Linked DNA regions of Rattus norvegicus. The protein of the gene in region 2 purifies or fractionates together with the protein of the main gene of each other region. This does not show direct contact. Links are inferred from orthologs where the notes say so. Each region holds a gene or a part of one and is shown on either strand. Other genes may lie near its edges.

Region 1 (3,953 bases), on a different chromosome or scaffold from region 2:
TGAGTTCAATTCCCAGCAACCACATGGTGGGTCACAACCATCTGTAAAGAGATCCGATGCCCTCTTCTGGTGTATCTGAAGACAGGTACAGTGTACTTATATATAATAAATAAATAAAATCTAAAAAAATAAAAAGGGGGGGTTGGGGATTTAGCTCAGTGGTAGAGCACTTGCCTAGGAAGCGCAAGGCCCTGGGTTCGATCCCCAGCTCCGAAAAAAAAGAGGAAAAAAAAAAAAAAAGGAAAGAAAAAAAAAGAAAATGAAATTTGAATCTCAATTTTTAACAAAAACAAGATTCCAAAGTTGATTCACACTCTGTGTAAGTTTGTAGACAAAAGACCATGAAACACTGTCTACATATTTATACCAAAATAAGTTACTACTACAATAGGATGTGGCAGTACACATCTTCAAATCCAAGAATCAAGAAGGCAGAGGCAGGCAGGGCTCTATGAGTTTGAGTCTAGCCTGGTCTACATAATGAGTTCCAGGATAGTCAGGGCTACACAGAGAAACCCTGTTGCTAATAATATTAATAATTACAAGAATTAAAAGCAAGTTGCAGAGCAGCAAGAGAATAGACGTTACCTCCATTCACAGGTCACATACACACATAACCTTAAGCCTCACTAGAATAAGTACGGATCTGAAATTATTCCAGTTGCTATCAGATGCTGATCTTTGAGAGTTTTCTCACCTTAACTCTACAGCTATGTTTGAGTATATCTCCCCAGAAACAAGTCTTGAGATGTCTAAACAAGGAATTAAAAGGTGGAAACTCAATACAAATACAGTGTGTTGAGGGGGGCCTCTGAAAGTAATTAGGTTTAGAAAATGTTAGCATAAACCTCATGACTATATCCCAAGTAAGAGGAAGTCCAAATGGTTGACAGACAATACAGACTAATGGATGTATGAATGACACTGGGACTGGTGGACCACACCACCTACAAGAAAGCCATCACTCACCTGGCAGTGATTTGATTTTTGATTTTCTATGTGAAAGAAACTGTAAATTGTTTTTGATGCCTTACATATATCATTGGGAAATAGTAAGTAAGAAGTTACAGTTTTTGCAGGGAATAAATATAATTACAATAAAGGGGGGGAATTAAGTTATAACTTCTAAGAATAGGGGAGGGAAGAATTAAGGTGTATTAAAAACCCAAAAGAATTAGGAGTCAGGACTCCACCTCCACTATGTGCAGTAGTGACCCTGATAGAACACATACTCTAAACCTCAATCAATCTCTCTCTGTGGAGAAGTCAGAAGGCTGCTTGCCAGAGTTGGTTCTTTTCTTCTATCACAAGAGAAACCACTTGTGAAACTGAAAAATTATTTGAAGATACAATACCCCTCATTTACCTGACTGTACATTAAAGAAAAAAGTACAAAATCTTTTTTAAATTTATGATTCAACTTAAAAATATATTCAAGTCTCAACCATCACTCCTAAGAATTCTCCAAATGCTTGTCACTTGGGAGAAAAGGGATTGAAGGACATTCCTGGCTACACAAGACCTTGGCTTAAAATTAAAATTCATTTAAAAACGTAGTTAAGATTGGCGGCACACACCTTTAAAACCAGTACTCAGGAGACTGACTTTAAGGCCAGTTTTCTCTGCACAGAGTTCCAGGACTGCCGGGGCTACAAAGAAATCCTTTCTCAAAAACCCATAACCACAACAAAACAAACACAAGAAAGTGATCAAATGAAGACATTCAACAGAATTGAATGGTATAAAGTCTCCATCTCATATGTAACCCAAATACCTTTAAAACGATGAGAGGCACCTTCATTCCCATTTGGGGTGCAGAGGCAGTGGATCTCTGTGAGTTCCAGCACAGCCAGAGGTGAGTATTAAGACATGTAAGTCAAAACACACAACAAAACTCTAGAATCCCTTTTTGATCCTATTAAGTGTCACAGCTAAGAATCCTTGTCTTGTTACTAATTTAGCCACTGGTGAACTCTAATTTAACACTTTCTGGTACCATAAAATATTTGCAACAGATGTTAGGTAAAGAAAAGAAAAATCAAGGTGGAGTGAAAAGAACCCTAAATTCATAAATTGAGAGAAATTTGCTCTCGACAGTTCTTTCCTACAAAGGCAAGAATTGTGACTAAAAAATTTCAAATTCAAAGAAGCTGTCTTTTTGACTTTTTTTCCTATTAGTCATAGTTTTTTTGTGGGGTTTTTGTTGGTAGTTGTTTTTTTGACTTGAGAGCTATTAGGGTTCAATTCCAGAGTTCACGCCTCCGGTCTATTCCACACGTGGGGCTCTGTGTCCCGCATGTGAACCTAACACCAAGCTCAGATTAAAAACAACTTCACAGCGTGTTGCTTTGGCAAAGATGAGTCTGTGTTCAAAAGTGATCAGGGGTACTCTCCTGGTTGGCCCTACCGACAGGGGTCCCATGGGAGGAGGAACTCAGTGACGCCCCCTACGGGAAACAGGAAGAGTCTGGCACAGTAGGGCCAGGGGCGCTACCCGGGGGCTGCCAGCCGCAGGGCCGGCGGGCGGGCACTCACCTCGGCGTCGTCTTTGCACTGCGGGAGCGAGGGGAACTCCAGTTTCACGTCCTCCATGGTCCAAGGGCCCCGGCGGGTGGCTGCGGCGCGCCCGGCCGCCCCCCCCCCCCGGGCTGGCAGAGGCGACAAGGGAAGGAGGGCGGGCGGATGGCGGGCTGACGCGCGGCGGGCTCACAGCAAGCACTCGCGGACCACGGGGTCCGGGCGGCTGCGACAGGAAGGCGGATGGCAGGGCGGTGCGCTGCGGGCCGCCATGCTGCGGCCGTCTCCCTCCTGCAGGTCTCCGCGCCCCTCAGACAGCCGGAATCCGGCCCAGGCTCGAGCCCATAACCGTCTCCTCCCGCCCCAACCCACGCGCCACAGCCAATCCCAGCCCACGCTCGCCGACGGCCCGCCCCCGCCGCCGCCAGGTGTCAGCGCGCCTCCGCCCTGCCGGTCCGCGAGCGCGCAGACGCGGGGGGAGGGGCTTCCCGCGGGGCGGAGCCGCGGCCGAAGGGAAGGCGAGAGGTCGGGGAAGGCAGTCTGCTGTCGGGCCAGCTAGGCCTTCCCAGACGGGATGGGAATCCCTTCAAAGTGCTCCCCATGACCGACCGCACTCAGAGGAATGCTGCCCAATCCGTAGGAGTTAGTTACAACCAAACAGGAAGAGTTCAGTTTAAATTCATGTTAAACTACGCAAAAAACTTGATACTCTTCACCTTTAAAGTAGAAAGTGGCTTCTTAGGTATAATCCGGGGTGTAACAACTCAAATTATCCAGAAAATTTCAAAATGATTCATAGAAAACGTCATCAGAAATATAAGTGATAGTTTACTTACTAAATTGAACTCAGTACTCTTAAGATTTCTCCGAGTCAAAATTTTCAACATATGATTCTGTGTGAGGAACTTGCGTTGAAGTTAATTTTTAAAAGTTAAGAATATATGGTCTCAGGATCTCACTAGGTAGATCAGGCTGGTCTTTAAACTCTCAAGAGTTCTGGAACTAAACGACTAATGGCCTGGTTTGAAGTTCTGAACAACCCTTTGGTATCACTAAAGGAATTGTTGCTTGGTCTGAACAACCCTTTGGTATCACAAAAGGAATTGTTGCTTGGCTGCAAGGTGTGTATTTTAAGACTTCCTAGAGACCTCAGGACTATTATCAAAAACCATCCTTTAAAAACAAAGTGTAAGGACTATGTGTTTAACTTAGACTTCCTCTTAATTCTTTTCATGTTGTCATGTATATAATGCATGTTCAATATACAGAAGTACAGCTGTTCAATGATTAATTAGCTGGCCAATCAGATGTTCCATGTTCTCTAGTATGACATAAACTATTATATTAGAAATTACAAAAGGCACAGAATACCCTGCTAGTAATTTTTAATTAAAAAATAATCCCATGGCAAGTGCTGTGGTGAATACCTTTAATTC
Region 2 (3,996 bases):
CTTTTGCTTTCTATTGCGGCTTGTGGCCACGCCTCCCTGGCTTGGCTGTCCTGCTGGCTCCTCATCCCCATCCCAGTCACACTTTTCAGTTTCGAATGAAGTCCTGTTCCAATATCTCTTCTCCAATGCCTCGTTTCCGTTCCGAAAAGACTTCCCAGGCTCTACCCGACTCCCATATTGGAGAGTGAGCTTTGTTTTTCTTGTTTTGTTTTGGTATTTGTTTTAGTGTCGGAGGTCAAACCTAGGACCTTCTAGCATGTTAGCAGCCAAGGGCTCTCTCACTGAGCTGCACACGTAGCTCCTGGTTCAGCTCTTGTTTCTGTCTCCAGCGATGCTTTTTAGACCTCGTTCCTGCTCTTAATCATTACTCCAGTCCTAAGTCCCCCAGCTTCTCCCTTTGCCGCCCACCCATCCCCTATGTCGGACCCTGTTACGCCTAAGCTAGGTTTTTACAAACTTGGTCTTAAGGCCCAGCTAGGACTCCTGGTTCTTGAGCCCCTTCCCACACAAGTCATGGTTTCTGGGTTTGCTGCTCTGTTAGCTTTTCACTGCTCAAGTCATCTCTTCTGGATATGCGGTCTGGTCCTTGGATGATGTTTGCTTAGCAACAACCCTAAACCTTTTCCAGCTCAAGCCAAGCCTTCTCGGCTCTAGTCCCACAAAGACGCGCGCCTTGGTCTCTTCCTACTGAAGCCACGCCTTCCATTGTTACTGACAGCCTCCAATTTGCTCCTCTGCCCCTGGCCACACCCCTCCACTCGGCGGCGCTTTTTCAAATGCTAGTACTTTGGTCTCGCTTGCGACACCCGCTGCTCTTAGTCTCTGTCTCTTTACCTCTCTCCCGGAGTTCAACTTTGGGAGTTTGCTGCTTTTCCTCAGCCTGGCCCCCTGGCCTCCTGGCCCCCTGGTCCCCTGGTCCCCTGGTCCCTTGGCTCCCCTGGCCACGCCCCAGGACCACTCCCTGCCCGCCGGAGCCACGCCTTCTAGGCGTGTAGCTTTCCTCAGCCGGGCCTACAAGGCGTCTATCTGCCTGAGCTCGTCACGTCTCACCGCTCGGCTACGTCCTGAGTCCCCTCCTTGTCAGAGCCACGCCTGGCTTGTCTGCTGACCCCCTCTGGCTTTGCTTGCTTATCCTTAGCGCCACCTCATGGCCACGCCTCCGAGGCGGTCATCACCCCCAGCTTTCCGGGTTTGCTGTTCGTCTTCCCCTGGCCTGGCCACGCCTCGTGCCCCCTCCTCTCCCAAGCCACATCTAGGTTTTCCTATTTCCAGTTCCATCCGCTAGTCAAGCTAGTCAGGCCTAGTCAGTCTCTAGTCTGGTCCTCCAAACGGTCGTCAGGCCGCGCCAGTACAGTCCTGGGGCCTCAGGCACTTTCCTAGGAAGGTAGGGATCCTCGGCAGGCCTCGGAAAGTCGCGCCGGTTTGGCCAGTCCGGCCACCTCAGCACCCTCCAGGGAGCGCGGCCTCCCGGCCACCGGAAACGGAAGCGCGCGACGGCTGGACCATGGCGACGCTGTTTGACCTCCCAGACTTGGTGCTCTTGGAGATCTTCTCTTACCTCCCTGTCCGGGACCGGATCCGCATCTCCAGGTGCGGCCCCGCTCCTCGGGAGAAAGAGCCGGGCATGGGCTCGGCAGGAGAGGCGGATCCGGTCCCAGCGGGCCGGGTCGTTCTAACGGCCGGTCCACTCCTCCAGGGTCTGTCACCGCTGGAAGAGGCTAGTGGATGACCGGTGGCTGTGGCGACACGTCGACCTGACGCTCTACACGGTACGCGGGACCCGGGAGCGGTGCGGGGAGAGCCAACCTCCTGCCCTGGGATAGAGGGGCCTGTGCTTTATTTTGTTTTCTAGTGTTTGTTTGCTCTTGGTTTTATTTATTTATTTTTGATACTTTCTAAAGGCTTTTATTTTTCTGTATTTTTGTTGATTTTTTTTGGAGGGGGGGTGTTTTGAGACAGGATCTCTATCCCAAACTGGCTTCCAGCTTCCTATGAAGCTGAGGCTGAGCTTGAATTTCTAATCTACCTCGCCCTCTAAGTATTGGGATTACCAGAGTCGGCCTCCATGCCTGATTTCTGTAATACTGGGGATGGAATTTAGGTTTCTTGAATGCTAGGAAGGCACTCTTCTGACTGAGTCATGTACTGGTTTCCAACTAACCACCCCCTCCGTTAATCTGCTCAGTGCTGAAATTACAGCTGTGGGCCACCTTATCTGGCCCAGGAAGTGTTTGGGTATTGTTTATTTGTTTTTTTCCTCCAAGTAAAATTTCTCTGTAGCCCTGGCTGGCCTGGAACTCCTCCTCCAGTGCTGGGACTAAAGGTGTGCACCACCACCCCACTGGTTTGGTTTTTAAGTGAGTTCGTGCTTGGAATTTTCTGCATGTCTATCCTAGCAGTAGCCTTTTCTCCTCCTCTGCAACGTTCAGACCTCAGTTTCTCATCCAAGATATGGGGATTAAAGATAATGCTTGTGGAGCTATCGGTGACGGAGTGTTTGACTCTGGTGAAGCCTTGGCTCCATCTCTTGCACCAAGAAAAACAAAAAAGTGCCTTCATGTCTGGCATATTGTAGAACTTAGCCAGTTGCAGAGAGAGATGATTTAGACCAGTGTGTGGTCTCCAGCATTCAATAAATGCAAGCTCATAACTTTTCAGTGTTCTGGGTTTGTTGTTTTAGTTTTTGAGATGGGTCTCATGTATCCCACGGTAGCTTCCAGCTGGCCATGCAGCCTGGGATGACAAAGATTCTGCTCCTCTTGCCTTTTCCTGAGGGCTGGGATTACAGGTGTGTGCCATCACACAGTCCATGTGGTGCTGAGAACCAGATCCACGCCGGTTTGCTAGGCAAGCACTTCACTGACACAGCCTCGTGCCCAATTTCTATTTTTTGGTCTTTTGAGACAGCATCTGTCAATGCGAAATATAACTGTTACCTCAGAGTGGATAAGAATTTACTCTGGAGCCAAATATGAGTGACTAACCATGTACGGAGAATACAGAGTTGGGTTTTCTCAAATACGTGTTTAAATAGAATAATTCCATGACAATTTTTTTTACTTTATTATTATTTTTATTGAGACTGGGTTTCTCTGTGTGGCACTGGCAGTCCTGGAGCTCAGTCTGTAGACCAGGTGGGCCTTGAACTCCAGTTCCACCTACTGGGACTAATGATGTGTGTGCACTAACTCTGTCCAGCGAAATTTTATAGTAATAGAATAAAGTCATAAAAAGTGTTAGCCATTTCTCTAGCAACAGATTATTTTTTAAAAGATTTATTTTCTCTGTTAAAAAGTGGTCAAGAAATTTTATACCGTAAGACTGGGCCTAGTAAAGACTTGTTACTACAGAGGTTGAGAGAGGAAGATCATAAGTTCAAGGCCAGCCTGGGCAATTTACCTCTGCCCTGCCTTGAAGTACAAATTCAGAGAAGGCCTGGAACTGTGATTCAGCTCTAGAATGTTTTCCTGGGCTGCACGAGGCCCTGGATTTCACTCCCCAGTGTCATTAAAAGTAAGGGTGTGCTGTGAACTGGGTTATAACTGAGTTCTCAGCCATGTCCTTACTATACCCGAGGTCCTGGATTCCATCCCAGCATAAGCAACAAATCGTTTGCTCTACCCAGCTTTCTTTTCTCTTCTTTTCTTTTGGATAAAATGAACATACAATGAAATGCACTGTATTGTTTTTTTGATTGCATAGTTTTGTGTGCATGTACCTACATCTACATGTGTGTGTATATGCATGAGTGCAAATACAGATGTGTACAAGAGCAAGTAGAGGGGGTTGGGGATTTAGCTCAGTGGTAGAGCGCTTGCCTAGGAAGCGCAAGGCCCTGGGTTCGGTCCCCAGCTTCGGGGAAAAAAAAAAAAAAAAAAGAGCAAGTAGAGGCCATAGGTCAGTGTAGGGTATCTATCTTCCTCAGCTTCCTTGTCTTTCTGTCTCTCTGTCTCTCTGTCTCTCTCTCTCTCTCACACACACATACACACACACACA

The links. Proteins that work in one complex are often made in the same cells at the same time.
Region 1: the proteins of Fbxl12 (region 2) and Styx purify together in Homo sapiens (affinity purification with mass spectrometry; 4 studies listed by BioGRID and IntAct, with this or other methods). This does not show direct contact. The link is inferred for Rattus norvegicus from reciprocal best matches to the Homo sapiens genes FBXL12 and STYX.

Annotation. Positions count from the first base shown.
Region 1 is NC_086033.1:21,043,910-21,047,862, reverse strand, and holds the start of Styx (serine/threonine/tyrosine-interacting protein), read right to left. Parts: upstream 2,801-3,953; 5' UTR 2,593-2,800; coding exon 2,536-2,592; intron 1-2,535. UniProt on the Homo sapiens protein: Catalytically inactive phosphatase. Acts as a nuclear anchor for MAPK1/MAPK3 (ERK1/ERK2). Modulates cell-fate decisions and cell migration by spatiotemporal regulation of MAPK1/MAPK3 (ERK1/ERK2).
Region 2 is NC_086026.1:27,454,973-27,458,968, reverse strand, and holds the start of Fbxl12 (F-box/LRR-repeat protein 12), read left to right. Parts: upstream 1-1,196; 5' UTR 1,197-1,504; coding exon 1,505-1,590; exon of another isoform or gene 1,591-1,696; coding exon 1,697-1,769; intron 1,770-3,996. UniProt on the Homo sapiens protein: Substrate-recognition component of the SCF (SKP1-CUL1-F-box protein)-type E3 ubiquitin ligase complex.